4 linked regions of the Notamacropus eugenii genome follow. The protein of the gene in region 3 interacts with the protein of the main gene of each other region in a biochemical or structural test. Links are inferred from orthologs where the notes say so. Each region holds a gene or a part of one and is shown on either strand. Other genes may lie near its edges.

Evidence for each region.
Region 1: the proteins of RPS6KA1 (region 3) and PARD3B interact in a test that uses a peptide from one of them, tested with the Homo sapiens proteins (2 studies listed by BioGRID and IntAct, with this or other methods). The link is inferred for Notamacropus eugenii from reciprocal best matches to the Homo sapiens genes RPS6KA1 and PARD3B.
Region 2: the proteins of RPS6KA1 (region 3) and DLG4 interact in a test that uses a peptide from one of them, tested with the Homo sapiens proteins (2 studies listed by BioGRID and IntAct). The link is inferred for Notamacropus eugenii from reciprocal best matches to the Homo sapiens genes RPS6KA1 and DLG4.
Region 4: the proteins of RPS6KA1 (region 3) and MAST2 interact in a test that uses a peptide from one of them, tested with the Homo sapiens proteins (2 studies listed by BioGRID and IntAct, with this or other methods). The link is inferred for Notamacropus eugenii from reciprocal best matches to the Homo sapiens genes RPS6KA1 and MAST2.

The regions. Positions count from the first base shown.
Region 1 is NC_092877.1:301,093,949-301,101,399, forward strand, and holds the start of PARD3B (partitioning defective 3 homolog B), read left to right. Parts: upstream 1-4,431; 5' UTR 4,432-4,578; coding exon 4,579-4,698; intron 4,699-4,704; exon of another isoform or gene 4,705-4,850; intron 4,851-7,451. UniProt on the Homo sapiens protein: Putative adapter protein involved in asymmetrical cell division and cell polarization processes. May play a role in the formation of epithelial tight junctions.
Region 2 is NC_092873.1:78,849,538-78,857,137, forward strand, and holds the start of DLG4 (disks large homolog 4), read left to right. Parts: upstream 1-4,537; 5' UTR 4,538-4,660; coding exon 4,661-4,690; intron 4,691-7,600. Other genes in the region: ACADVL (very long-chain specific acyl-CoA dehydrogenase, mitochondrial), read right to left, coding at 573-637, 732-804, 912-983, 1,328-1,391, 1,564-1,625. UniProt on the Homo sapiens protein: Postsynaptic scaffolding protein that plays a critical role in synaptogenesis and synaptic plasticity by providing a platform for the postsynaptic clustering of crucial synaptic proteins.
Region 3 is NC_092876.1:67,582,592-67,589,605, reverse strand, and holds the start of RPS6KA1 (ribosomal protein S6 kinase alpha-1), read right to left. Parts: upstream 3,030-7,014; 5' UTR 2,930-3,029; coding exon 2,867-2,929; intron 1-2,866. UniProt on the Homo sapiens protein: Serine/threonine-protein kinase that acts downstream of ERK (MAPK1/ERK2 and MAPK3/ERK1) signaling and mediates mitogenic and stress-induced activation of the transcription factors CREB1, ETV1/ER81 and NR4A1/NUR77, regulates translation through RPS6 and EIF4B phosphorylation, and mediates cellular proliferation, survival, and differentiation by modulating mTOR signaling and repressing pro-apoptotic function of BAD and DAPK1.
Region 4 is NC_092873.1:506,910,440-506,918,389, reverse strand, and holds the start of MAST2 (microtubule-associated serine/threonine-protein kinase 2), read right to left. Parts: upstream 3,050-7,950; 5' UTR 2,651-3,049; coding exon 2,504-2,650; intron 1-2,503. UniProt on the Homo sapiens protein: Appears to link the dystrophin/utrophin network with microtubule filaments via the syntrophins. Phosphorylation of DMD or UTRN may modulate their affinities for associated proteins. Functions in a multi-protein complex in spermatid maturation.

The sequences.
Region 1 (7,451 bases), on a different chromosome or scaffold from region 3:
GTTGTAGCTATGTTTGTGATATTGATTGTTAACATATGATAAACTGTTTTAATGTATGCCATGATAATGAATACAAAAGTTAAATGCTGCTTTTTAATAATCACAAACTATAAACTCTGAAATCTTTCCAAAATTACTAATTTGGGGTCATATAAGATCACTCAGTGATTAACATAATTACTTAATTCATTAATGTGTTACTTAATATGTTCTGTAATCTCAATGATATCACCATCTCCCTTAGGAACCTAATCCAATTTTCACAGAGGGTAATACAGAGAATTTTGGATATTTTCCATTATTTATTCTGGGGTCTGAGACGCTCTGGGAATATGTGTTGCAAGGGAGTAGTTAAGCAGGAACTTGAGAGACTTTGTGGAAATGAAGGAAGCAGGAGGTGATTGTAAAGGGGAGAAGAGAAGAACTGATAAAGTTGGAACAGTATAGTGGTAAAATATATACACATATATACACATATATACACATACACACATATACATATGGAACAAAGGGTATAAAATTATGGAGGCTTTCCCTTTGTTGTTTCTCCTAGCTCTTCTCTATCTGCATTTTACTTATTATTGTTCAATTTACTTATAATTATGATTATTATCTACTTCTTACTGAACATCACATCCTCTGATCACTTCAGTGAGTGGTCACTTTCCCCTTCTCTAGACTCATGGCCTGTCTGACTCAGTACACACTTAACATATTTTCTACACTTAACATATTGCTTGCATAGTTACATAGCATTTAGCTTTTCATCTTGATGTCTTTTCTCCCCTAACTAGTTTATGTGTAAGAAATTTTTGTACTTGTTATTTTAGACATCAGCCTGCCACAAACAATTTTAATTAATTTAGATTATTCTAATCTAAGCATTTCTTTTGAACAAGAGACAAGACCAAAGACAGGCTGATTCCTGCTAACAGTCTTTCTCTGACAAGCTATTTTTGAGTTAAAATTCATAATATTCCTGAACAAAGAAAATTTTTCAATATGATCAAGTGCAGTTACAGACCTCAAAGTAAAAGATCACTTGACATTTTCATTTTACCTCATTAAGCAGAACAATCATCAATCCAATTCAATCCAATAAACATTTAAGAAGCACCTACTATGTGTCAGGCATTGTGCCAAACGCTGAGGATATAATTAATAAAAAGACAGACGGTTCCTGCTCTTAAGGAGCTTATGATATTATAGGAGTAGACTACACACAAAGGTGGAGGCTGGGGCACCAGGAGTGAAGGCACCTTTTTCCATTTTGTTTGATGCAGTTAAACCAGGCAAAGTGGAGTGAGCCACTTAACTTTCTATACACTTTTGGAGGATCATTTTCTTAAAATCACTCATCCTATTTGACCACCCACTTTTAGGCGGTAGTTTTCGATTTTTGTTTCAGGACCCTTTTATTCTCTTAAAATTATTCAAAACTTCCCCACAAGACCTTTTGTTTAGATGACTTAATCTGTGGATATTTAATCTTTCTCCCTAACCTGAACCCTGCTTTTGGCTCCTAGGTTCCAGATCCCTCACAATTCCAAGGACTCTTGTTCATTTCCATGTTCTTATTTCAAATCTTTTTTGTAAAGAAAGCTCTTCCCTCCCATGGAAAGGATGAACAGAAGAAGAAAAAGAAACTGAAGTGTCTTACTAATATTATGAAAATAATTTGGATCTCATGAACCCTCTGAAAGTGTCCTTCAGACCACACTTTGAGAACCATGAACCATTACTTTCAGGATTCTTTTTTTCCAGCTGTTTAAAGATGATTTCAAGATATACCTCTGTTAATAGAAGTAATCAAAGCCTTCTTCCTTCTCTTGGTCTGATAATTCCTCTGATCATCTTGTAGAAGAGTCCTTCCTAGGCTCATAAGGAAAAAGGGGCCTGGAGTGAGTAATTAGATGGTTCAGCCTTTGATAAGAGTGATTGAGAAAGATTTTAGTGCTGGACAGTATTTCAGAATTGGTAGTTAAAATAAGGGTTCTCTTTCAAATTAGTCCAAAGGCTTTAGACTAGAATAATTGTAAAATACTTTCTTATTATGTGTAAAAGGCAGTGTGTATACATATACATGCATATATGTGCATATATACACATATGTATATATATATACACATATATGTGTGTATGTGTGTGTATGTGTAGTTTAATCTATTTTCACAATTAAAAACACCTTCAAGAATGGCTAGACTTGATACTAAGTCACTTGGAAGCTAAGATGCCATCCAACTCTGTAACCCATGATATGAGACTATGTTAGGAACTCTTTGTATCCCCTATAGATCTTACACAGTGGTAGTCCCACAGCAGGTCTTCAATAAATAATGGAAAAAAAAAAAGAATGCAAAATCAAGTTAGGTGATTAAGGCTTCTCCAAAATAATGAAATTTCAAAAGTCAAGCTGAAAAGGTTTCAGAGCTATTATCTAATCACTTGTACATCTGTCTTAGACTGTTCACTCAATGCAAATAGTTTATGGGTATATCTGACAGTAGGAGCAAATCATTTTACAGAGAAATATTTTCTGTTCCTAAGTTTTTTGCTGATTAGGTATTTTTCAGTTATCCAGTTTTCAATGGTGAAGAATATATGCTTTGGGAATCATTCTTCTAAAAGTCTTTTTTTTAAATTAGTTTCCCAAGTTAGATGTCAGTGGAATACACTGGGTTCAGAAGACCATGTTTTAGTAGGGAACTGGACTTGGAATCAGGAAGGCTTAAGTTCAAATTCAATTTTAGATAATGACTAGCTGCTGGACCCTTGTGCAAGTCATTCACCTGCTCTCTGACTCTAGCACTAATTAGTCACTAGGACTAATCTGCTAAATCATAGAGATACCAATCTGTAATTTCCCTGGAGAACAGTTCCTTCTACTAAGGAATTCATGGTTTCTTCCCTTTCTATGTGTATGGCACATCTTGATTCTGCCCTAACTAGCAGTGTGACCTTGAACAAAGCTTTTGGGTTAAAATCAAGGGTAACCGCTGTTGTTATCTTTTCAAATTATCTCCCCTCTATGCTGCAGTTTTCTTACTTGTAAAGTGAAGAAATTAAGACTAGAGCAGGAGTAAAATAACCATGGATAGATTTGCAGAGAGGTTTGTGAACTTGGGTGGGAAAACAATTACAACTTTATTTTCATTAACTTTTGATTTCCTTGGCAATCCTCTGTATTCTATTTTGTGGATTTAAGCACTTTATTCCAGAAGAGATCCATAGGCTTCACCAGACTACTATTGGTCCATGTTAACCAAAAAAGGGTACAAATCCTTGACTAGATGACTTCTAAGGTCCTTATTAAATTAAAAAAAAAAAATCCTGTGATTCTATGTCAGTGTTACTCCTATTATGGTGGGACTGTGAGTATGGTCTCTTAATAGGACCTCAATACAGGTATGGTCCTTGATGTCTGGGCTATTTATTTGAGTAAGGCCAGAAGCACCTGTTCCATGTGAACTCCTTTCAAAGGGGCGTGTGTGTGTGTGTGTGTGTGTGTGTGTGTGAGAGAGAGAGAGAGAGAGAGAGAGAGAGAGACAGAGAGAGACAGAGAGAGACAGAGAGACAGAGAGAGACACAGAGACACAGAGAGAGAGAGAGAGAGAGAGAGAGAGAGAGAGAGAGAGAGAGAGAGAGAGAGAGAGAGAGAGAGAGAGAGAGAGAGAGAGATGCAGCTTTGCCCTCTTGCTCCCATTCCCCTAAGTGTACTGAAGAGATCCGGTTTCAGTTCCCAGGGGTGGAAGCCTGGGCTCCCGTTACCAGTCCCCTGGGCTGCTGCGTGTCCGCGTCCCTCGGGGTGTAGGCAGCTCTCGGGCTCGGGTTACCAGCCCCGCACCTCCAAGCCCGCGCCGCGGTGCAGCGGGGCGAGGCCCGCGAAGGAGCCGGGGGAAGCGCCGCGGCCCCTTTAAGAGCCGGGGTAAGGCCTGGCCCCCGGGGCTGCGGGGAGCGGGGAGTGCGCGGAGCGCGGCGGCGGCAGCGGAGCGGGAGGAGGAGGAGGAGGAGGAGGAGGAGGGACGACTTCGGGACCTGGGCCACAAAAGTTTTCCCGCCCCCTCCTAACTCCGGGGCACGACCCCCTCGGGCATCGGCGCGGCCCCCGCGGCCAGGGGGGCCTGCTCGGGGCCGGGAGTTTCGGTTTCACGGGGCCGGGACATGAGGAGGAGGAGCCGGCGGCGGCGGCTCGGCGTCCCCGAGCGGCTCGGCCTGCGCTTCACCTGAGCGCCGGCCGGAGCGGAGCCGGGCGCCCCGGAGCGCAGCGCCGTGCCAGCCCGGGGGCAGCCCCTTCGCGCGGCCACCTCCCCTGCCCCGGGGTGCCGCGCTCCTCGGCCCCACGTGCCCAAGCCCCCCGCGGGACGCGAGGAGGGCGGGGAGCCCCGCGCACCCCCAGGTGGGCGTGCCACCAGGGACGGGGCGGACACACCTGTTCCAGCGCCGCCCCGCTCCCGATCCCCTTGACCTCCGGCGTTAGCCCGGGCCCCCGGAGTCCGGGCAACCCCGCTCCCCTCCCGCCCGCCCTGCACTGTTGTTCCGGTTGCCGGGCTGTCCTGCGCTGGTGACCGCTGGGCGAGGATGAAAGTGACCGTCTGTTTCGGGAGGATGGGGATCGTGGTTCCGTGCAAGGACGGGCAGCTCCGTGTCCGAGACCTCACGCAGCAGGCTCTCCAGCGCTACCTCAAAGCCAAGGAGAAGGTAAAGCCGGCCTTTGGAGGGGGCACCACTCCGGGGGGCTGTGGAGCAGGAACAGGGAAGGGGTCCCTCCTCCTGACTCCTCACGCTGCCTTTGTGCCTGGGAAACCCCGGAACACACCTGACACCTGTCTAATGCCCTGGGTGGAGTCCAGGTAACCCCCTGAAACCGAGATCCAAATGCTGGGAACTCCCAGGCCTGTCAGGGCATAGGTCACGCAAGCAGAGTTATTGGCCATACTCAGCTTTTGTGATCTGCATTTCATTTCACTTTTTTGGAGATTTTTGGGTTTTGTGGTTTAGGAGTGTTATGGGGATATAGACTAAAAAGATCCGGGATTGACCATAATACTTTTTCAGGCTCTTTTTCTCTTCTTCTCCGAGGAAATTATTGGTATCAAGAGTTCATTTGGTCTAGGTAATAAATGTTTTTGTAAGTAGTGTTTCAACCTCTCATTAGCTTGGTTTTCAGTGACTTCCAGAAACTCTGGTAGGAGAATGAAGTAGTTACTTCTACTGTCCCATTCACTTTTTTTTTTTTTGAGAAAACGGTTCCAGAAATTAGCGACAAGTTAGAACTAGTGTTCTGTTTCCATACCATGTCAAGGTGTGTTAAACTGTGTTTGGAATTCAAAAAGGTAAGTTGAAAAATAAAACTTACCATGAAATAAACCTCTTCCTAAAACTGAGGCAACTAGGTGGCTCAGTGGGACCAGTAGTAGGGATAGATCTGAGTTCAAATCCTGTCTTAAACATATGCTACCTATGTAACTGGAGGCAAGTCTTCTGTTTGCCTTATCCATTGGAGAAGGAAATGGCAAATCCCTTCAGTATCTTTGCCAGGAAAACTCTGTCCACAGGGTCAGGCAGAGTCAAACAGGACTGAACAATAATTACCAGGTTTTCTTTTTTTTTTTCTTTTTTGCTTAGGGTACCTTTAAATTAATTATTTAAATATTTTATTAATGACCAACAAGATTTTGTGATGCTAGGAGTTAGTTTTCCAAGGTCTCTTAGAGTTCATTTTCTCCCACTTCTCCCTTTCCCTGCCACCATCTTTTTAAAACCAGATGAGTAAACTGAGGCTAAAAGAATTTAAGTTAATTACCCACAGGTCATACAGCTGAGCTGGGATTTGAACCTGGGTTCTGTCATACCAAATGAAAGACTCTTCCCACTGCATAAATCTTCTAACAAGACAGAATACATGTCTGATGTTCAGTCCAGTTCAGCATTTATTAAACACACTATGTTGCCAGGCATTGAAGCTACAAAAATTAAAAAAGAAAGAAGGAAAAAAAGAAATGGTTCCCACTTTCAAGGAGATGAAGTTCTCTCAAGGAGGAAAATGCAACATAGACAGTATATAGATGGACATAACACAAGTAAAGTAAGCATAGGGGAGATGAAAGGGCTCAAGGAAAATTTGAGGAAAGTGAGAACACTCAGGTGGGGTCAGGGAAACAGCCTTCATGATGGAGAGGACTCCTGAGCTGAGCTTTTTTGAAAGAAGACAAGGATTTTAAAGGAAGAAAATGTGAAGTCTGGAGATGAAGGAAAGTTTCTGTGAATTCAGTGGAGATGGCAAGTCTAGTTCAGAGAACAGCTAGACATCTACTTTGGCTGGAGTAGAGGGTGCCAAGCAGCAGGAATAAGGGTGGAATCAAGTTGTGGAGGCCCATTCTGGGTTAATGAATGCTATATTTCATCCTGTAGGAAATAGGGAACCCACTGAAGAAACTTCTTTAGCTGGGGAGGGTAACAAGTTTTGCTTGTATTTTAGGAAGATTGTTTTGGGCATCTTTGTGAAAGATGGATTAGAAAATGAAGGAATAAGAACAGGTGAAAATAGATGAGGACCTCAGTGAGAGTGATGACAATGAGAGCGAAATGAAAGGGACTAAAGTGAAGATGGGTCCATTTTTATATGCGTTCACCTCTACAGAGATTCTAGAACTAGAATATCTGACAATCCAGTCCCTGGAAGATATGGTTTCTAATTTCTTTAAATGTCCCCATAGCCATTTGGAATAGAAATGAAAGAACTTTATATTTTAAAGACCAGAGGTAAAGTGTATGACATATCTCTAAGAGATACCCATATATAACTTCATTCTCTGTCCACTAAAAGTAAATTCTCATACTGAATGGTATAGAAACAAAGTATTACTTTCATGAATATGTTCCACGTTGAGGATACATTTCATGTGTTTGAAATAAAGTCATACTTTGAAGAATAGCTGTCATGAACATTAGACATTGGGTAGATGATTACCACTCCCAGCAGGGGCAACACCCCCTCTCCCCAAAAAGAAAGATGTGTGAAGCACTCTGCTAGCTGTTAGGCCAAATGGATTAATTAGAACATGCTCTCCTTTCATATTGCTTATATTCCATTTGGGGATATGAAACATATACAAATACTTATGTGCGTGGCGGGGGGTGGTTCACCTGGGGCATGGGAACTTCTTTAAAAAGTATTTTGATAACTGCATTTCAGTATAATTGGTTTCTTTTGTAATCTTATGTTTCTCAATTTGTGCATTTTAATAGGTTTCACCAGACCTATGACCCTAAAATGGTTAAGAACCCAGTTAGGCATTGGATATTCAAAGAAGGCTTCATAGAGTTATGGCATATGAATTGAGTAACAAAGGCATTTTAGGGGTAGATAATGACATGAACATCTAATGTAATTTACCAAAATTTAGCTCTTTACTGACTAGTGGATAAAATCTTGCCTTTGTATAGTTCTT
Region 2 (7,600 bases), on a different chromosome or scaffold from region 3:
CTATATTTTTATGATGTGGCTTCCTGTCCTGTCCTCTCAAATCCCCCCACTCACCACCTTCTGGTTTTACTCCAACTTGTTAATGTCCTTCCTAAAACACAGCATCTAGAACTAAATATTAAATTCCAGATGTTGACTGACTTAGGGTAGAACATAGCAGGGCCTCCCTGGTTCTAGATGCTATGTTTCCTACTCTTCTATCTTAGGATCAGATTTGATTTAGGCCTCCATATTTCCCCTGGTAACTAGGACTGAGTTAACTAAAGCCTTCAGATCTTTTCATACAAACTGTTTCTGGCCATGTTTCTCTTCATTCTATCCTCATGAAGCTGACTCTTTGAACCCAACTGTGGGACATAACAATTTCCTCTATCAAATGTCATCCTAGATTTAGTCCCTCTTTCCAGCCTATTGGGAACTTTTTGGATCCTCATTTTGTTACTCAGTATGTTAGCTGCACCTCCCTGATTCAACTTATCCACAAATTTGGTAAGCCTTGTGTAAATCACTAATAAAAACATGATGGCAACCACCCTCCCCACCATCTAGTCACCCCCATCCACAGCCCTCACCTCAAAGAATCGAGACACAGGCCCCACCAGCTCTTTCAGAAACTGCATCTGCTCCTCCTTCAGCACTATAAGGATCAGGAGATCAGTTAGATTGGATATCACCCTAAGAAAGCTGACCTTCTTCCTCTACCTGCCACCTATCAGAGGAATACAGTCTACCTGAAGGGAATGGAAACACCTGCTCTGTCGTAAGTTGTCCTTTAAACATCCCGACAGCAAATGACTTGGACTCCTAGGACAGGAAGAGAGGGGATATGTCAGGAAGTTGAATGGAAGGGGAAATATTCCCCCATTAGTAGCCCCACTCCCCCTCCATCACTCAACTCAGGTGGTACCTACCACCACACTGGGGCTACCTTTGTCCTCTGCTGAGGCTATTGAGGAACCTGAACCTGTTTTGTCCAATACCACCTATGGAGAAGGGAAGGATGAAGAAAACACTGGGAGCTGTAGGGAACAAGGAAGCTATGGCCTCTCAGGGTCCTTCTGACTCTCTTTCTGTGTCCCTGTGCAGGGAGAACTACAAGATGAGAGGGTTCCAGGGGCAGGGAGGGGAGTTTCTAAGAAGGGATAGGTGGGGCAATGTACGTTCTGTAACCTTTAACCTAATTTCTTCCCCGTGACCTTTCCCCCAATTTCAGGGCCACATAGAGAAGCAGGTGACTTGGAAGAACAGTTTGATGTCAACAGGCAGCCAGGGGGAGTCCCCAACCTCACCCCAGCCCAGCCTGGCCAAGCAGGCTCTCCAACCTTACCTCTGTGGCCCTGTCGGTGTAGTGACGAGCAGCCTTCATGCCCAAAAGTGAACAGCTCTGGGGGCTGGGCAAGGGTGCAGGGCGATTAGCTTTGGCACCCCTTCACACTACCCCCCCCCCAAATTCCCAACTGTCACTCTGTCCCATGCTAACTCCACACTGCCCTCCCCCGCAGTGCCTCAGAACCAGGGGTTCCTGCCCCACCTTCCTCAGACCCCTTCTCTCTCATCACTCACCTGGCCCTCCCCTGCCTCAGCATCTGGAGCCCCACTCTGTGGACCATCCCCACAGCCTGCATCTTGATGTTCTGCCTGGCCTGTGCCTCTCAAAGAACTCCTCTCTTGACTTTGACCTTCCACTTCTCCTCCCTCTCCCGATACATAGATTTGCCCAGCTCCTGCCCTGCCCTACCCCTGACTCATCACCCAGAATACAACTGGGGAAGGGAGGTGGGGTTTATTGCACCCAAGGCATGCTGGGATGTGTGGTTCTTAGATCCTCTCCCCATTCCCCCTGGGCTCTTCTTGCCTTAATAGTGGATTCAAGTGTACCCCTTGGTCCCCTTCTCTCAGCTTTCCATTAAGGCCTCGATCTATGTCTTGCAAGGTCAGGAGATGATGAGATGGGGCTGGAGAGAAGGAAAAAAAGCTAAATTTAGAGGGATATAGTTTAGACCTGAGAGAGGATATTCTAGTTGGTTGGAGATAAAAAGAGAAAATCTAGGCTGAGAGTTTTCTTGTCTGAGAGGCTTGGTCAGATGTGTTTTATATTCAGTCTTGTGTCTTGAAGCCACCCCATTCACAGACAGACAGACAGACAGACAGACACACTCACACACACACATAGTGGGAATTAGTAGAATTATAAGTATGTATGTGTACAGGCTCCAAATACCTCCTTCTCACATACCACCCCCTTCAGACATAAGAAGTCCCTATGACTTTTAGAATTGCCATCTAAAACTCTTTGGGTTAAAAGGAAGGCAAGAGGTCATTTCAGCATGGCTACCACAAAAGCTCTGCACATATCTATCATCTTAGGGATTTCTAGGGTCTTCTTAGTCCAACTGTGGAGATCATCTTTTCTACAGAGACAGACCAATCATGGGAACTGGAGATGGAAATGAGAAGACAGTATTAGGAAGTTCCCATAAGCAACATCTTCTCCTCACCGCGCAACCCATTTTCTTCCAGCCCTAAATGAATGTCTTTCCTGAATCTAATCTGAATCTCTTTTGCTGTATCTCCACATGAGTCAGGTCTAAGGGGCAAAGTGATCCTCATTCCTTGTTCTTTCTGTTGCAGCCTCCTCCAGAGAGGACCTACCTTTTACCTTCTCTTCTTTTCCCCACTAAGGGGGACATCCATAATGTCATAAATATACCTGGTGGGGGCTCAGTAGACTGAGAGAGCACTTCTAACAAGGGAGCTGGGATGCCTAAGGATCTGGGAAAGAGAAATTACATTACTTAACAATCTGGGCGGGTGGAGAAGGGGGCTTAACTCAAATCCTGATGGATTAGGGAGATTAAAATGACAGAGAGAGATGCCAAGGGAACCAGGAGGTTAGAGACAGGGGTTCTGGAGGGGAGGTTTTGGAGTTCTAAGGGTCTGTAGAAGCTTGGAACATGGGATTCCTCTATCGATGACTGGGGTGAGAGGGACAGAGGGGTAGAGAAGGATTGGGAAGAGATGTGCATGTATTTCTCTAGGTGTCTTTCTCGGTGTTTCCACCCCAATAATCCTGTCTTCATCTCTCCAGTCCCTAGATCGGCCCTTTGGCTTCTGGCTCCCCCACTCTTGCAGTGGGCACCTCATCTCCTTGCAGTGCTGCACAGTGACCTCTTCCAGGCTCTGCTGGGTAAGTAGAAGAGGGACTGAAACTACTGGATCCCTGGGAGGGTTGATTAGGGGGAAGGGGTGATAGCGGTGGTGCTATTCAGAATAGTATCTAAGGAAAGCCAGGGCACGTAGAACTAGATGACTGGGCAACTCCCACTTGTTCCTCATAGATATCCTGGATTATTATGAAGCTGCTGTCTGTGATCATCTGGTAAGGGCCTTGGGGCAAGGGTCTCAATACCTTTATCCTTAAGGGAAATCTGTTTGTGAGGGAAGTTGGGTGTGGCAACAGAAGGAAAAGAAATATTGGAATGAAACTGGAGCAAGAAACTTCAGTTCTAGGGTAGGAGTGCAAAGCCCTGCGTCCTGAAGCCAGAGATGCCATTGGCTGAATATCTGGGTTCCATCCTACAATATTTTCCTCTTACATTCCTCCCTTAGTCTTTCTGCTTGTCACATTTCTGGCCCTACAGAGTCCTGGTTATAGCCACATTTCCTCCCTGCCTCCTCAAAACCACCCCAAAGGGAAGCCAAGGCCATCAGTTCCCCCAGTGCAGGCAGCCAGGGACTCAGAATCCTGCTCCTAATCCCTCTTTATCTCCCTCTCCTCCTCCCCCCTTTTGCCTCAAGAATATTTCAGGGTCCCCTCCCACTCACAGGTGCTCCCCACCATACCATTGCCCCTGCCAAGAAATCCAGTCAGTTACTTTATTTTTCTTTCCTCTGCCTTCATCCTTTTCTCTCAACATCTCTATGCCTTTCTTCTTGCGTCTCCGTGACTCTGACTGTGCCTGTTTTTCTGGCTGTGACCTGTGTATGTTTCTCTCTTTGTCCTCATCCGTATGTGTGTGTCTGTGACTCTGCCTTCATCTCCTCCTTCATCTCCATCCTCATCCCCGTGTATCCGGGCTCCCCCAAGCACTGAAGGAGTTAACCTCCCTTGCTTCCCCCCCCATCCCTTGCTCCCTCCCTCCCTTCCTCCCCCCTCTTCCTCTCTCCTCTCTCGCCTTCCCTTCTCAGCTCCTTGCTCCCTTGGCCGTGGCTGCCGCCTCCAACCCCCCCTTCCCATTCCCCCTTTCCCAGCTGCCAAGAGAGACCCTCCCTAGCCTCTCTCTCAAGACCCCCCCCATCCCAGCTTCTCCCACCCCTTCTTCCCCTCCCCCTCCCACCCCAGCTCATGTCTCAGCCTCCGGCCCCTGGGGCTTCAAGCCCCTTGCGCCCCCACCCTTCCTGAGATTGGGGTGGGTACCCCCCAAGCTCTCTGCCTTCTATTCGGGGGACCACCTTTTGGGGCCCCTCTTCCCCTCCCTCCCACGCTTCCCCTCTCTTTCTCTTCTCCCTCTCCCTTCCTCCCCTCCTCACCCCTCCCCCCACCCGCCCCCCCAAAAAAAGTGGGGTACGGAGGGGGGAGGGGGGAGAGTTGGCTGAAGGGGGAATGAGATCCTAATGAAGTCAGAGCCCCCCACACGCCACAGCGTCCAGCCCCCCAAACATGGACTGTCTCTGTATCGTGACAACCAAGGTAAGCAGGATATTGGGGGGGTGTGGAGAAAGGGGTGTCAAAAGGCTGATATCTAAGGGGAACAGAGTTTGTAGAGAGGTACCAGGTAGGCCTTATCTGGAGCCTAGGGTCCATTAGGGAAAGATCAGTAGAAGTAGGGTGCTTAGGATTTGTCTCCCCGGATTGGGGAAACACAGGCATATAGATAATGCAGGGAAGACTGGAGGCAGCCATGGGGCACCCTGGAGTGATTCCCCAAGTGTCTATATGGAGCACAAATGTGGGGGGGGTTCTGTGGCTTGGGGGGAGCCTGGCAGTTTGGAATTTGCGGGGGACATGGGGGATGCTTATCTTGGGGGAAGCCTGGCTCATACTGGAAGAGAAGTTCATGTTTTAGGGGTGGAGGGGTCTTCAGGGTGGGAGAAGGCAGGCTTGATTTTAGGGACTCTAGGTCAATTTTGGGGGAGAATGAGAGGCCTCGAGAGATACTCTTGGGTTTGGGGGAATTGCTTAAAGCTCATTGGAAGAATATTACCACAATTTGAGGCCATACTTATTTTGGGGGATCACTCAGTATGAGGGTGACTGGGAGTAGTAAAGGTTCAGTGGGTCAAGGCCTGAGACTGGGAACCATTTTAAAGAACCAATCTAGAGGAGGTTAAGATTTGGGGTGCTATCTCACTGGGTCCCCAACTCTAGGACAAGGAGAAATCTAAGAATCTGAGATGGGCTTACAGGAATTGGCTGATTTGGGGCATCATGCGGGTGATGAATTTGGGAGACCCTCAAGCAGGTGTTCTCACTCCTCCTTTGCCTTTGCCCATTCACTTTGCTCTAGCTCTCACTCCTGTCCCCAGCAGGAGAGAGAGGGGAGAGAAAAGCAGATGGAAAGACAAACTCCAGACCTGCTCAACCAGGCTCTTAAGGGGGAGGGATGTGAAGGACACCCTGGATTTGGAGGGTGACCCCCCCCCCCCCCAGACCAAGGAAAGGATCTAGGCCTTAAGGAGTTGAATGGGGCTTGGGATGGAGGCAAACTGAAGGTAGGCAGAATGAGGGGGAGTAGTAGAATAGAAGGGGACTGGGGGCGGTGGGGGAAACTGGGGGAGTCAGAGAGAAAGCTGAATGTGGAGGGGCCAGTCTGTGAAAGGCAGAATGGCCTGGGTGGTGGTGGTGGGGGAAGGACACCTGGCTTCCTCATGGGAGAATCTGAGATTTGGGGGTTAGATGCCTCTGTAGAGGGTTAGGCAGGTAGCTGGCTGGGAGGGTGGGGAATAGGAGGGACAGGAAGTGTTGGCTGGGGGAAGCAGGGTCTGGGTGAGTCATAGGATGGGGAAGGGGTTATATTTAGTGGGAGCTACAGCATCTAGGGGGAAGGCTACTCACATATCCCACCATATGCACATGGATGTTCATGTGCACATGCTGGCATAGAGTTGGGCCTCAGGAAGATACAGGATATGGGAAGGACTTCATGGAAACCAAGCCTGGATGCCTCTTAGTCTTAGCATCTGCTATCCCACCTCACACCTTTACCTTTCCCCCCACATATTTTTTGGGGGCCTTTCTCTGGGGATCTTATCCTGGATTCATTGTTTTCCTGTTTCTGCCACTTTTTTTTTCTGTTTGTCTTTGTGTCTCAGGGCCATGTTTTATGTCCTTGATGTCCCCCCCACCTCCCCTCATCTTGTTCTCATGTTTCTCCTGCCATATTCTCCCTTCTGTGTCTCTCAGTCTTCCCCCTTTCCCCCCTCTGCCCTTTCCCAGGGCCAGCACTTTGGGGACACAGGAGGGAAAGGCCTGAGCAAACAAGGGACACTTGAGGACATGCTTCCTTCTCTCCCCCTCCCCTTCCCCTCTTTCCCTCCCCCTATGCCTCCCTTGGTGATGTTTCCTATAGATACAGGCAAAAGGAAAGATCTATATTGAGGTGTTGGGTACAAACCCTTTCTGAGAGCATGGGAAAATAGGCATGAGAGAAGAAAGAGGAGGAAACCTGGGCTTGTAAGATGTTCACTAAGTCCAGGGAAACAGCCTCCCTTTATTCTGATCTAGAACTGAGCCAACAGCCAAGAACGTTGGTGCCATAGGGTCCCTACAGAGAGGAGGAAGGGAGATTGGACACATAGGTGGCTCAGGGGAAAACAGGAGATTTCTTTGCCTCGAAAACTTTTCAGCGCTGGTGAAGGTGGGACTCCAACTCCCATGAGTCCCTGGGGTAGAAGGCCCCTAAGTACACTAGAACTGTCGCCCTGGGCCCTGTCGGGAGTCGTAGTCCCGGCCAGTCCACGGGCTCCGGGGTAGAACAGGGGAGGCCGGCAGGGGACGCTGTGTCCCAGCACTCTTCGGCTTGTGCTGAGTACACTGGCTCCTCGCCCTGTGGAGGCCTTTACCTCTGGTTCTCTCCCATAGTCTATTTACCCTGACGCCGGTTTCCATCTCTTGTTTCTATCTCCTAGTCTGTCTGTCTGTCTGTCTGTCTGTCTTGTCTGTCTCTCCCGCCCCCGCCCCCAACCCACTTGCCTCCCCCTTCCACCTCCTAGTTCCACCTCCTATTTCCCTGCGCTGGCGCCGTTGCCATGGTAACCGGCGACGACTAGAGCGGCTTGGCAGGCTGGCGGGCGGGGCCCACGGAGGTTGGGGGCGCGAGCACGGGGGCGGGGCCGTGGGGGAGGGGGCGGTTGACTTTGGCCAGAGACCCGGACGCGAAGCAGTTAAACCCTCCGGGCGGCCCTAATTGGGCAACTCGGGCACGCCGGGGGCGGAGTCGGACCGGCCACCAGCCCTTGCTTATTGGCCGAGATGGGCGGGGCGGGGTTGGAACGGGGGATGGTGGGGGTGAGGCCGTGGGAGCGAATGGGGATGGAGGCGTGGCCTCATGGAGGGTGGTGGGCGGGGCACTGGAGGCCGAGTTAGCCGCCTAAGGGGCGG
Region 3 (7,014 bases):
GGGAAGGAGGGCCAGGATGGGTGCCTTTGTCCCAAGGCCGGCCCCATATCTGACTGGGATGGCCATCCCTAATGCTCCTGAGAGAAGGTGAGAAGAGGGGTCCTGGCCTTGGCTGATAAGACCCCAACCCTCTCAAAAGAAACAGAAACAGAAGCAGAGTGACTGGCTGAAGATTACCTTGTGCATTAAAGAGAAAGTGAGAAAGAGAACCCAAGTTATAAAACTGTTGATAATAAAACTGGCAGGGCTCAAGCCCTTGATTCTATACAGGGGGAAAGCAAAGCCCAGAAAAATGACTTGGTAGTGGAATCACAGACTGAGATCAGCAAGAGGCCCTGGAAGTCACCTAGTCCAATGCCCTCATTTTATAGATGAGGAAGCAGGATTTGAATGAAGGTCCTTTGTTATATTCATCACCCCTCAATAGCGAGATAATCTAGTTATTGGCAGAGTTGGCATTAGGACCCAAGTCTCCTAACTCACTGTAGGGCTATCTCCTAGCTCCCCCCACCAATTCTACATGAATTCTCCACTCCGCCTTTTCCCTACCACCACTCAATGTATGGGGATGCAGGGAGAGAGTCCCTGCACCCAAAGGGATGGCTAACTCTGCCACCATTTTGCCCATGTTACTCCCCTTTCAAAGCAAGCCATCCCCAAGTTGGGACCTTAACGTGGAGTTTCTGGCAAGAGCTTGATCTCTGAGCAAGATTCCTTAAAGAAGTTAGAGTGGGGGATGGGGGTGGAAAGCTTGAGCCCTGTGCTGAGACCAGGAGCCCTTCCCTGCCAGCACAACCTCAAGGCTAGACACTGTGCCATCTCCCCCTCTTAGCCAGTCCTTGTCCTTCCCCTGTCCCTGAAAGTGAATGTAAAGGGCTTCCCTTTATATATGTCAGGACTCCTGGGTCCCTTAGGAGAAGTACAAAGATCAATCCGAGGCAGGAACCTTATCCATCTCCCTTGGCCTGGCGTGCCCCACCCTGGCACCTCTGCTCCCTGGGACCTGTTCCCCTCCCCCCAGCATGGTGAGAGAAAGGAGCAGAAACAAGGCCAGCCCCAGCTCCTCACCTCTCCTCAGGAGCCGGTGAGTCAGCGGGACGGTGATACTGGGCCTGTAAAACTTCATGGCAAGAATCCCAGGACAATTTACTTCAAATTGCTCCTTCAGGGCTGTTACCTAATCCCCCTACAAGGCCCACCCCCAAATCTCTTGCCACCCCCTTTAAAGGCCCAGCAGCAGCCAGCCACACTGGGGGCCAAGGGACCCCTCTGGATGACCTGGGGGGGGGCACTCAGCACTTCCCTCAGGCCTAGACCTGAACTCGAAGAACTAGGGATCATACCTGCTAAGGTGCCCACTGAAGTACATGCAGGGATAGGCAGGTGATCTGGGCCCCTGGGCCCTACGTGCCAGGGCAGCAGCCAGGAGGATATCTCTTCCTGCTCCGCTCTTTTGGGAATTAGGGCCCAGGGCCTGTTCACCCAGCTTCCCCAGAGCATCAAGCTTGGTGGTGATCCAGTTCTTAGCCTGAGCCCAGCTAGGCAACAGTACCTGGGGACTAAGGCTTTGGTGCCCAAGTCCTCTCCAAGTTGGGCTAACCTCTAGCAGAAGGACTGGGACAAAAGCTGCCTCTTAAGTTGGGAAGAGGGGAAGGAGAGATACCCCAGGAAAGCCTGCCTTTTTTCCAGAAACAGGAGGGAGGGGTAGAAGCCAATACTGTGCCCTCAGGTAAGGGTGGTGGTGGTAGTAGAAAGGCTATATTCCTAGTTCTGGACCTAAGATCTTATGTTTTACTAGCCCTGGGTGTTCTTCTCCTCAGCCCTCACTTACCCCAGCCCTAGAGAAGCACAGATCGTGTCCAAATTGAGCTCTCAAAAGTCACCTTAAAGGGGCCCAAGGACTTCATCTCCCCTACTCTGGAAGATAGAGTAAGTTGGAGGTAAAACTTAGAAACAAGGTGCCCTCCTCCCTGAGGTGACAGGTCTCTAAATCTGGCCCCTGCAGGGAGGATCATAGGAACCACTGGCCGGAAACAGGCACTGGCAATGTTCCTGGGACCCATAAGGACATCCCCTGGTTCAGGGGGGACTTAATTGGAGCAGCCTTGCCAAGAGGAGTAGCCTGATATGGCAGAGATCAGGCGCCTCCCCAGGATGGGGAGAACAAGCCCTTGGGCGGCCAGCTGCAGCCGGGAACGAGTAGAATAGAGACCTGTTTGGGAACAGGCTAAAGCCAGAAGAGTAAAACTACTGGATCGACGGTTCCATAGCTCATGCCAGCACTCTGGCATCCGGGCATTCCTACTCCTACCTGGTGGTACTGGGGGAGTTCAGGAGAGCTCCTGCTGGAGCGACGCCCCCCTCCCCCAAAGTGTGTGAGTATGAGGGGTGGGGCAGGTCTCCCAGGACTCGATCAGCTCTCTCACAGCCCTCCCCTCCCCAACACACATAGAAGGCTCAAACTCCAGCTCTGGGCACCCCTTCTCCTCTCTTCCCTCACCTGGCCCCAGGGAGCCGCCCAGACGGACTCTCCCCTGGACTCTCTGGCCGGGGGAGCCGCACGGGATGGAGGGGCGTGTCTTAAGGGCAGATTTCTCCCCTTAGCTCTGGGTTTCTCCGGGAGAGGGCAGCTCCGGGTGGCTCGTGAGGTGCGGAGGGAAGAGCGATGCTGCTTGAGTGGGGGGTCGGGGGGAGGGGTCAGGGGGAGATCCAGCTGTTCCTCCCCCTGCCCCAGCTGCAGCGCCGTCTTTGTCTGCCCCTGGCTGGGGGCTCCCATTGTAGCCTGCCCAGCCCAGGCCGGATCCCGGGAGGTCCCGCCCGCCGCAGCCCCGGGACACAAGAGTCCGGGACACCCAGCCCCGCTCACCTCGGGATCCAGTGGAAGCAGCTCGGTGAGCGGCCAGGGCTCCCCGAGCTGGGCGAGCGGCATCGTGCCGGCGGCCCTCCGGGCTGGCGCGGCTCCGGTTCCGGCTCCCGCGCCCCGCGCCCCGAGCCCAGTACCCCACGCACCGCTCCTGCACTTCTTACTCCCTCCGTCCGCGCTGCCCCAGGGGGCGGGGCGCCGCCGCCGCCGCCGGACCCGCCGCTCCATTGGCTACCTGCGGCCGCGGGGAGCTTGGGCCACGCCCTCGCCCCTCCCCCTCCGCCGCTTCCCCCCATCCCCACCCGGGCGCCGCATTCCCGGAGTGATCTTCCCCTCCCACTCCCATGCACGTTCCCGGTCCCTCTCGGCCCTGGCCCCTGCTCCTTTGGGGGTCCCCAGATCGCTCTCCTCCTTCACCACCACAGCCCCATTAACCCTTGCACTGCCCCGCCTCTGGGGCCATTCTCTCCCCTCCCCCCTTCAGCATATCTGGGGAGCTTCTGTTCCAGATGTGGACGCTTTTGTCCAAGGGCCCCCCATCAAAAAGCTCTCAGGCCAAGAGTGAGGTTGGGGAACCCAGATAAGAGTCTGAGACTGGGATCTTGGGTGTCATCCCTCCTTTCACCCATCCTGTCCCTGAAGTGACTCCTTTCCTCGGAGAGGGGTCCACAAGTTGTCCTGTTCAGAGAAGTCTGTGGCCTCTGTGGTAGAGGAGCAGTAGGGATTCAGGGTTCACCCCTGCCCCCACCCTCCCTACTAGTCCTGGTATATAATCTCTCCTGGGGGACAATCCTTCCCCTACTCCCCTGGTAAAAAATTGGCAAGACCTGCATCTTTCCTCAAGACTGGGTGAGGTGGAGGATGAGAGAGAGTGGGTACTTATTCCAAGTCTTAAAACATCCCACCATTAAAACATAGCCTGTTAGAATTGGATGGGATCTTAGAACAAAGAATGTCCAAGCTATAGGGGACATTATTAGAACATGGAACTTTCCAGCAGGAAAGAACTTTAGAACATAAAAGAGTACCAAAGACAGGGTCATTAATGAGCACAAAGAATACTTGACCTGGAAGGTACCTTAATTGAAAGTTAAAGTGGACAGAGTCCCTTTAAAGTCCCTGTCAGGTACTGGTTTTGGAGTCAAAGACCTGAAGTCCAATTACAACTCTACTTTGGACAAGTCATTTGACCTCTTTGGTTTTCATTTCCTCATTCGTAAAATGAAGAGGGTCGAGCCCCCTTTGACTCTAAACCTACTCCCTTCTGGAATGTGAGAGCAGGAATTAGAACCCTAGCACACACATAGAAGGTCAGAAAGGAGAGTGGTAATGCTAAGCCATCCTCTGACCCTGTATATTGCACATAGAATACCATTTACAAATGTCTAGCTGAATTAAAGGGATCTTAAAATCTGGACCCTGACAAGGGCAGGAAGAGACCTTTGAAATGAGCTAACCCAACATCTTACAGATGAAACTGAAGAGAGTTGAAACAATTTGATCAAGGTCATACAACAAGGCAAGAAAAGGGGTGGGACTAGAATCCAGATCCCTGGATTCCCTGTCCAGTATCCTCACTGCTCATTATATCCTATCACACTCAGTTCCAAAAGCCAGAGAGAAAAGTTAGCTCTTAGTCATCTTCCCAGGAGCCTCCTCCCCTCCCAGAAACAATGTGTTGTCTTCTCACAGTGATGGCCTCAGATGTATTTTTTTTTTAAGCTACAGGAAACTGTGATTTCTCTTTGTGACTTAGAAGATTCATTTGAGGAGGGGACAGTGAGGATTCTGGTCTTAGCCTGGCAACAAAATGACAGCACTTTCGATTCTGACATTCTGTGTTCTAACGATCTGTATTCTAAGTGTCCTCTGAGTCTGACATATTTCTCTTCTAAAATCTCTTCCAGCTCTGGTTCTAGGTTCTAAAGTCCCTTCTAGCTTTGGCCTTCTATATTCTAACATTCTATGTTCCAAGGGTCCCTTTAGTTCTGATATGTTATGTTCTAAGGTCTCTCCCTTCATGAAGATTTTATGTTCCATTGTCTAGGTTCAGAGTTCCCTGTAAACTTGGATATACCATATTCTGAAGTCCATTCCTCAGGGTTGACGTTCAATTCTAAGAGCCCCTCTAATTCTAGAATCATTAGGGCATAATGGATAGAGTTCTGGACTTTGGAAGCCCTGCATCCAAATCTTGTCTCAGATACTGGGCAACCGTGGGTAAGTCGTTTCCTCATCTGAGGATCAGGTCTGATAATGTCTGCCAAACACTATATACATATCAGCTTTTATTATCTTCTATGGTTGCTTCCAAATTATTATTCTGTATTCTAAGGTCCCTTCCAGCTTTGACATTCTGTGTTCCAAAGTTGTTTCTAGCTCTGACAGTCTATGTTCTAGGATCTCTTCCAGCTCTGAAAGTCTGTGTTCTAAAGTTCCTTCTAGCTTTGACAATCTGTGTTCTAAAATCCCTGTCAGGTATGACATTCTAGAATTCTCCTTTTCATCCTCCTCTTCCTTCTCCTTCATCTCCTCCCCCTCCTTCTTGTTGATGAGATGAGGGGAGAATAGGGACTTTTAGTTCTTTCAGCTAGCTCCCCTTGCAATATCTCTGTGCTGGTTGGTCTCCGACAAGCATCTGGGACCATGATTGCTTCTGCTCATGGCACACCAAGTTACTTTGGGAAGTCCCTGATTAGAGTCTACTTGGCTTGACTTTAAGGGAAGAGGCCATGTTGCTGAGGGTAAGGAAAAAGGGAAGGATGGAGCCTCTTTGTGGGATCATCCTGGCTTTCTCCTAAAATGATCTTGAAGCAGCCATTTATCCCCTAGTTAGGATAAGACATATGTAATCTTAGGGTCAAGGCAGTTTCCCTGATAAAAGGATATGGGTACTATTTCTAGGGGTTTTCCAAATGTAATTTCTCTGGCTTATATCCCCTTCAAAGAAATCCTGAAAATGTCAGTCTCTGGCTCATTTTGATTTCCCCCAAAGGCCCTTAGCTCCTCTGAAAGCACTTAGGCTAACAACATCAAATACTGAAAAGATTTTATTTTTACATCAAAAATACAGAAAGAGCTAATACCTGCCCTCATAAATAAGCAAACATCTCTCTCGGGGGAAAGAATTTGAGGATGCTAGGGAATCTTTCTTCCCACCTACCCCCAAATTTATATAGTTCAGATGATTGGAATAGATCTGGATTGTTCCCCAAGTGCACATTTTCTTGCCTATGCTACTCTTTCTACCCTGGTTCTCCGCCACACTGCTTTCATCCAGGGTTCATCCCTTCAGGGTCTGAGGGATGCAATACCCTACAGGACTCACTCTCCCCATGTGACTCCATCAGGGTCTCAGGGTCTCAGTCACATACTGGCTCCTCAAGGCCCATGGCTGTCTGTAGGGGACACCTAGATGTGCAGGATTTTCAGCAGGTCTCCATGCAACCCTGGTATCTCCAGCTCTCCTCCTCAGGGTCCATGTATTCCCTCTTATATCTGGAACCAGCTCCTGGGAATCCCCTATGAATGAATTGAAAGGGAGAGGGAAAGACTTACCTCCAAACCTGTATACATACATTCTCCTCAAGCCAGGAGAAGTACTACTGGATTTGGAATCAGAGAACACAAGTTCTAATTATGACTTTGCTACTTACTACCTGTAGGACTTTAAGCAACCTGCTCATCCCCTGTGAGTCTTAAGTTTGAGGAGGAATGGAAGCCAACAAGAGGAAAGGAAGATCAGGTCATTGATGGAAGAAGCAACTGGAGAGGCTGATGGATGAAACTGACAAATGCCAGTCTTTGGGATATAAAGTGCAAATGAGCACATGGAGAGGAAAGGGAGCATGAGCAGACTTCCACCCCACAAAAGGGGCAAAGAAGCTGCCATCTTTTCCTTCCTCCATCTGGCCCAAAGGTTAATAGAATCCTGTGGTGTAGCGTTTAGAGTGTTAGACTTGGAAGCAAAGCCGGTTCAAAATACCAACTCTACTATGCACCAAGCACTAACATTCTACTCCCTTCACCCCTCACACCTCCCTTCAATTATCTCATATATGTTTTATATAGAGAGGCAGCATGGTATAGTGGATAGAGAGCTGGCCTTAGAGTCCTGAGGATCTGAGTTCAAATTCTGTCTCTGATATATA
Region 4 (7,950 bases), on a different chromosome or scaffold from region 3:
GTTCCTGCCCTTCAGGAGCTCGCAATCTAACAGGGGAGACAACATTTAAACAATTATGTACAAAAAAGCCATATACAGGCTTCTTAATTAATTAAGAAAGGAGAGGAACTAGTATTAAGAGGCTTCCTTAGAAGATAGGATGTTAGCTGAGACTTGAACACAATCGTGGAAGTCAGGAAGCAGAGGTAAGAGACAGCATTGCAGATCCGGGGGACAATCAGGGGAAAAGCCTGGAGCTGAGAAACCCTGAGAAGATCTGGTCAGAGAAACAGCCAGGACCAGTATTGAATGCCATCAACACGGCCTCCACCATCCATGGGAGCTGCTGAAAGCCTGACCTTAACCTCCACAAGAAGTGTGACTCAGGCCAGACCTTAACCTCCCCTCCTTCCATCTTTTCCCAAGAACCCTTAGTCCCAGTCCACCCCCACTCTAACATCCAAACTACTTTGTCAGCAAAAGAGATGCAGGACCAGGGAGCAGCCACTGGCTTTGGAATGGGCACCTTGGTCATCTTCATGACTCTGGCCAAGACCCTTCCTCTCCCTCCCTGGGCTCCAGAAGGTTGGACTAAATGACCTTTGAGGTCTCTTCCTGCTCTGACAGAAGCACAATAGTGAGTTACCAAGAAAGATACTGAACCCAGAGTCAAGTATCACAGGACTTCAAAGCACTACAGAGACCCAAGAGCTGCCCTTCAAGCAGCTTCCATTCTATATGGTGATAACAGTCCAGGGCTGGGTTGTAGGAAAGGACATATCACCTCTGAGCCAAGGATAGTCATGATTACAAGATGTGTCAAGATTCTGCCCATTCCCATAAGTAATCATCATTGACACTGAAGTAGCACTTTAGCTAAGGCCAGCCATTACCATAGATGGGCTCCAGGAGCTCTGAAGGTCTACTGAGAGGGAAAGTTAAAGATAAGCCCTCCCCAGGAGCTCCTTACTTTTAGATGAAGCCACAGGACCAAAAAAGGGAGATTTGCAAAGTCTTTTCCTTGTCACAACTGGGAGAAAACCAGGGAAGAAAATGCTATCAGTGGAGTCAGAGACCCTGGGCTCAAATCCCAGATACTGATGTGACCTCTCTGGGGTTCAGTTTCTTAATCGGTAAAATGAAGCTGGGACTTGATGGTCTCTAAAGGTTCCTTCCAGCTCCACAGATCCTAAACCACTAACAGGGGAAAGGGCTTGGCCACTTCTCAAAGATGAATAGAACCCTAACATTCAGAAGGAGAAAGCCAAGGGGCTCCTGCTAATCTCTACCTTGCTGAGGTGCCATAACTGAGGAGGGTACTGAATGATAATGGCATCAAAGAAGGGCATCCAGAGATCTCACATACCTGGAGAATTGCCCTGGGGGAAAAGGAGCAGGGGGAAGGCCTTATTTTTATCTCCCTATCTCTTAGCAGGGTACCTAGCACATAGCAGGCCCTTAATAAATACTGACTAACTAGGAGCAATGGGCAGTCCTCAGAGAAGGAAAGCTCAGCTCAGAAGGGACCATCTCTTAACAATGTGGCTGAGCTGGCCAACCATGGGAAGTAGCCTAGCGAGGCAGCAGAAATATTCAGTCTGTTGTCCAGGAAAACCAGTTGGATGATTCTGGCAGGGGTGGCTGCAGTCCCTTCCACCTCTAAGATATCCTTCTTTCCTCTTTCTACCACCTCACAGAATTCAAACTCCCCTGTCAGCCTTAATGCCCCAGAGTCCCATGGATACCAGACCTCAACACTTTATGGTTCATTTATAAGTGAGGGTAATATGTGTATTGTATGGTATGTGTCATGCTCATAGACTATAAGCTTTCTGAAGGTAAGAAAGGGGCCTGTGCAGGTCTCCTTGAGAATGGCCTTTATAATGGGCACTGCACCATTTGGGGTCAATGCTGCTGCAGAGGGCTGTGGAGCTTGGAAGCTCTTCCATAGCAACTACTGACCTGAGAGGAGAACCCAAAGGGGCAATGTGGGGAGGCCTGGCAGTTGGTTTGGGGTCTGCCTCGAAGAAAGGAAAATTTATTCAGAGCCCCTGTGTCCCACCCAACTCAGTGTGAAGCAGGTCTCTCCAAAGCTCCACAGCTCTCTCCAAACTCACCTGGGCTCATTCACGCCCAACACCAAACTTGCTCCCCCATCATCTGGGCTCCAGCACCCACCCCCAGCGCAGCCCAGCTTATCAATGTCATTCCCGCCGCCAGGAGGGCACCAAGCTGCATTTATTTCCTCATCCCCTAGGCCCCAGCCCCCCTTCCCCTCTAGAGTCACCCATCCGTCACCCTTCCCTGCTCCATTCTCCCTGTCTCCCCAATCCCTTGCCCCCCAACCTCATGCCCTCTCCCCTGCACCCTCCAGCCCCTGCCCCCTGTCCCTGACTGCCCCAGCCCCTCCCCCCCTTCTCCCCGGCACCGCAGGCCCTCTCCCCCTGCCTCCCCCAGTCCCTGACTCTGCTCCCCCAACCCCCACCCCGCCTCCTGGCCTGACCCGGCCGGGCCTCAGTCCTACCTGCTCCTGAGGCGCGGGGGCTACGGGGTCCGAGCCGGCGGCTCGCGGTTCAGGGGGGGCCTTGCCCCCGGGCGCCCTGGGGGTCCCCCCCTCGGCGCGGGCCGGCCCGGGGGCCGCGGGCTTGTCCCGGGCACGAAGGCGCTTCATGGCAGCAGAGTCGGCTGCTGGGCAAGCGGCCCCCCGACCCCGGCCCCGAGCCCGGCCCCGAGCCCGGCCCGCAGCGGCGGAGGCAGAAACAGCCCCGGGCCCACGGGCCCCCCCACCATGGCCGCGCCGGGGTGCGGGCCGGCCCACGGGCGGGCGGGCGGAGGCGCTCGGGGCGCCTGGCTCCTCTCCCTCCTCCTCCTCCTCCTCGTCCTCCTCCTCCTTCTTCTTCTTCTCCTCCCGGTCCCGCGGACCTGCAGCCCCCGGGACGGGGCGCGGGCACGGACGCGGGCGCGAGCACCGCCTCCCGCAGGCTCTCCAACCGCGGCGCTTTCTCGGCTGCCTGCCTCCCTCCCAACCGGCGCCGGGCCCGGGAGCTCCGCCCCCAGATCCGCAGGCCCCTCCCCGTACCCGCCCAAGGACCTCTCATACGCAGGCGCAGGGTGCAAACCCCCACCCAGCCCCAAAGGCCCCGCCCCGAGTCGCCCCGCCCCGAGCACGCGCGCCAGCGCAGACCCCGCCCTGCCCCTCAGGCCCCGCCTTATTATGCCCCAGCTCCGCCGTGGCTGGCGCACGCGCACGGGCCCAGCTCCGCCCCCGGCACTCGGGGCCTCGCCCCCGGGACACGCTTACTCAAGCTAAGATTCCACCCACTCCCGTAAGGCCCCGCCCGTCCTGCGCATGCGCATTGCCGGCTAGCACGCCTTTCACTCTACTGGCTTCCTCCCTTGGCCACGCGCTGGGCTCGTGAGTACCGAGTATCTACCTGGGGAGCGTGCACCTGGCGCCCCCACCCCCCACCTTACCTGGCCCTGGTTCACTTGGGCTCGAGCCGAACAGGGCCCCTTGGGTAGGCCGTGGCTGACCCCCGAAAGCCCTCCCTGATTTTTCCCTCTGACTGGGTGGGATGGGGCCGTTCGTGAACACGGAAGCACGGAAGGCTTAGGAGGGGAGGGTCAGCGCGACCCCCTGAAGTGTGTGTCTGGGTGTTCCAGGACTGGCCGCTCTGAGCTGGAAAGATGCTTAAAGCCACCCCCGATGTGAGATCCAGAGAGGGGAAGGGGCCTGCCCATGGCCTGGAAGGGACAGAACAGAGATGATCCCCCTGGGGGGCCCTCTGAAGGAAAGCCTGAGCCCCCAGACTAAGGGGGAGATGTGAGCAAAGAAGGCATGAAAGGGAAAATCCAAGGAAGGAGGGAGGAAGGGCGGAGGTGGTGGGGTCACCAGCCTGTCCTGAGGCCCAGCTTGGCACTGCCAGGCTGGCTCTTTAGAGCTTGTGGCAGGATGTCATGCTCTATCTCCCAGGTGCCCTCCCGCACTAAGTTACGGAAGGGAAGTGAGTCACACAGATGCCACATTGCTACCCTGTGGGTAGCAAAGACCTTGAAACAAAGTAACTACCCGTGGCAGGGGGAATATGACAGAATGAGGCGCTCTGGGGGTCGTGGGAAGACCTCAGAATCACAGAAGGTCAGAACTGGAGGGGGCCGTGTACAAAGGCCCTCCCACCCACTCACCTCAGTGAGTGGCTGTCTGCTCAAAGCCCTCCACGGAGGGGAGTCTGCCACTTCCCCAAAAGCTCTATGTAATGTTTAGGAAATTTTTCCTGACCTTGAGCCTAAACTGACTATCCCACAGTGCTCTGGGTTCTGCTCTCTGGAGCCAAACGGAACATCTAGTCCCTGTTGCACACACCATCACTTCCCATGCTTGAAGACAACTATGAGGTCATGTATTGGGTGAGGGCACCCAAGTCTTCTCTTCTCCCACCTAAGTGTGCCAAATCTTCAAGTGATCCTTGGGGGATGTGGACTGTACCATCCTGTTGCCCTCCTCTGAATTGTCAGACTTGTCAATGTTCTTAAAAAATGTGGCATCCCACAAATGTAGGACCATGCCCTCCCTATTCCTGGAACTTTTGCACTTCTGAATGCAGCCCAGGATCCTATTAGCTATTGTGGATGTTCCATCCCCGCTCCTGACTCACATTGAGCTTGAAGTCCACTAAAATCCCCAAATCTCTTTCAGAATTGCTATCTATTCACACACACACCCCATATTAACTTGTGAAGTTCATATTTTTGTGCTGTAATACATGACATTTATCCCTATGGGGTTGCATATTATAAGACTCAGCCCCATGCTTTGGCCTGCCAAGATCCTTTTGGATCTTGACTGTTCTCTCTCACCCTGTGTATCAACCACCACCTCTTGGCTTAGTGTCAGACTCAAATCTGATGTGCACAAGACAGAACCAAGATGGTGGAGTAGCAGGAAGAAATAGCAGGCACGAACACACACCCCATCACTCATCCAATCAGTCAACAAGCATTGGAGGAGGAGAAAGTGAGGCTGGTGACCTTACACAGCCCTCCCTCATTCAAAACAAAGGCAAATGCAAGTCATGCCATCATTTCTCTGAGGTCCTGGTCTTCTTCAAAAACAAAGGATAAACACAACAACAACAAGCACTGATTAAGCGCCTGCTCTGTACCAAGCACTATGCTAGACACAGGAGATACAAAAGGTAGAAGACAACTCTGCACAAACAAGATAAAGACAAGATAAAGCAGAAATAATCAAAAGAGGGAAGACTCTAGGAGATGGGGAATGAAGGACACAAGAAAGGATTCTTTCAGAAGTGAGATTTTAACTGAGACCTGAAGTAGGCCAGGGAAATTAGGAGGCAGAAATAAGGAGGGAGCAAGTTCCAGGCATTGGAGACATTAATACCCAGAGTCAGGAGATAGAGGATCTAGAGGAAGGAATAAATAGCAAGAAGGCCAGTGACATTGGGTTGCAGAATACATGGGGTTGTTGGGTTGGTCATTGTCCTTCCTAGTCAAAGAGGACCAATGTGACATTATTATGTCAGGGTCAATGTATAACGTCCAACTGTGGCTGATCAGATCAAGAGGAGCTCAGAAGGTCTACCACAGGTTTGACATAAATTGTACGAACATTCAGAATGAAGACGTTTTTGGCCGCAGAGTAGGATCCCCATAAGTGAGGTGAAGCCAACAATTTTTAAGGGACCTTTTCTAACCCTTTCCTCATGCCAAGAGGTGAGAAGTACATCGGCCCAGGGGGGCTGATGATTCCACAGTTGCCTCAGTCCATTGTGGGAAGATGAGCCTATGGCCTGAGCCACCTGCATGCAGGGTTATGACTACAACTCCCAGAGTATCTGCACCTACTGCTTCATCACTTGCCCATTGCCACAGAATTTTGAGGTAGGTAAAAATGATGAAATGGTATGGGTGATGTCTTTTAGCACATGTGTGAACTGAATTTAAGTGACACAAAGTTGCACCAAAGTTGTTGGCTGCTCTCTTCCAGAGTCATCAGAGTCCAGTGGCAAGGCAAAATCAAGATAATTGGGGATGACTTGGGATGAAGTGGATGACCCTTGCTTCTTCATTGTCTAACCAAGCTCTTAAGTCTCTACAAGCACCTGCTTCCACTGCGTCCATGGGCACTGGAACAAATATTTTCACATCCACCTATTCCACCAGGGAAGTCTTCACATGCTTGAGGTAGATACCCCTCTAACCCACTGACAGATTTGAGGCACATCAGTTACCCTCAACCTGGTTTAATTTAACCCATCTGCCAAGATGGTTTCACCAGGATGTGGCTGATGTGCATGCCACAGCTTCTTGGAGTCATAGGTGAGAGATGGGTGGCAGGTAGAACCGAAGGTGGATGAGCAGCCCTGAAAAGGACTCAGCAAGCCCTCACACCAAAGGTACTAGTCACCCTGTACTCCTACACTCACACTACATGTGAGGGAAAGGGAAGAGAAAGAAGCAAGAAGACTAGAAATGTAGAATGGGGCCAGGTTATAGAGGGCTTTAAAAGTCAAAACAGAAGATTTTTATATTTGATCCTGGAAGCAATAGTTCTAGAAAATGCACCAGACCAAATCTTGATCCAGAAATTAAAAAAAAAAATCACCGTGAATCACCAGGTCAACAAAAGGAGAAATAAAGAGAGGTTTGTGGACACAGATGTTTACCATCTAACCCTGGGCATGTCAGTTGACCTGTGTCTGCCTCACTTTCCCCACCTGTAAAATGGGGCTGATAATAGTATCTATTTCCCAGGGTTGTTGGGTCTGGCCGATAATAGCATACCACACAAAGCATTCTGTCTCAGGGAGAGGCCATACAATACTGCAAGAGATGGCAGATCTAGTACAGAGGACCCTAATCCTATATTGGGCACAAGAACAGGTGCCAACTGACAACTATCATGTACTACCTAGTTCCAGGTCACAGATCCAAGGAGGATTTAAGAGGTTACTTTCAACCAGGTTTGGCATTCCAGGGTGAGGAGGGGTCAAGAGCCCCAAGCTGTTGTTATTTGAAAAAGCAAATCCAAAATATAAATGAGCATTAAAAAGAAATTTATTATGTTACTTGGTAGAGGAGAGCAAGTCAGAAAGGAGGTGTGGTTCCCTCTCCCCAGGCACTAGAAGGCTTACATTATATAGGGTTTAGATTAGGGTACCCACATACAAACCCCACATAGGCAATTAAGCAATTTTACTGAGAGAGCAGCTTAAAAGCAAGGTAGGTTGAAATGGATATGAGTAAATGTAAATGTTCAATAAAATTTAGACAAAACCAAAACACAAGCCTGGATGGACCCCAAACAAGATCTAGGTGTGAAGACCCAAAACAGGACCTGGAAAAACACAAAGTCCCTTATAGCTCTTCCTTGACATTCCTGGAGAGTTACTGAGGTCAAGGCAACACATTAGTTGCTGATTTCAAATACTTTCTAGTTAATAAGTTTTTCAAACAATATAACAAAACCTTTTCCACACTGTGCATCAAGCAAGAAGCAAGCAGTAGTTATGGGACATAGACCCTAGAAGTGGAGTAGGGTGTCAGTTCCAGTTTCTAGGCCACGCTAAAGCCTTCAGACGAATTAACAAGGCAGGAATTTTAGACCAAAAGGACTCCTTTTGTTCTGTCATTGATCCAGCTGAGCTTTCCAATTGATAGTAGCTGAGTCCAGTAGCAGTCTACTGGAACTTCAAGTGGGACAAGCCCACAAGAGTGATGTTCAGAATCAAACCCAGGTCAGGAACTTGGCAAAGCTCAGAACAAGGGTCCATATTCAGACTTTGTCCTGGAGCAGATCACTTTGGGAACACTGAAAGCTTACAGGGCCCTAGCTTTGGCTGTCCCTGAAATCCTGGAATAACACACAACACTCAAAAATTCCAAGAAAGTAGTCAGAAGATAAGCCTAGGCATTCCTTCCATAAGAGCACAGAGCTTGATACTAACATGA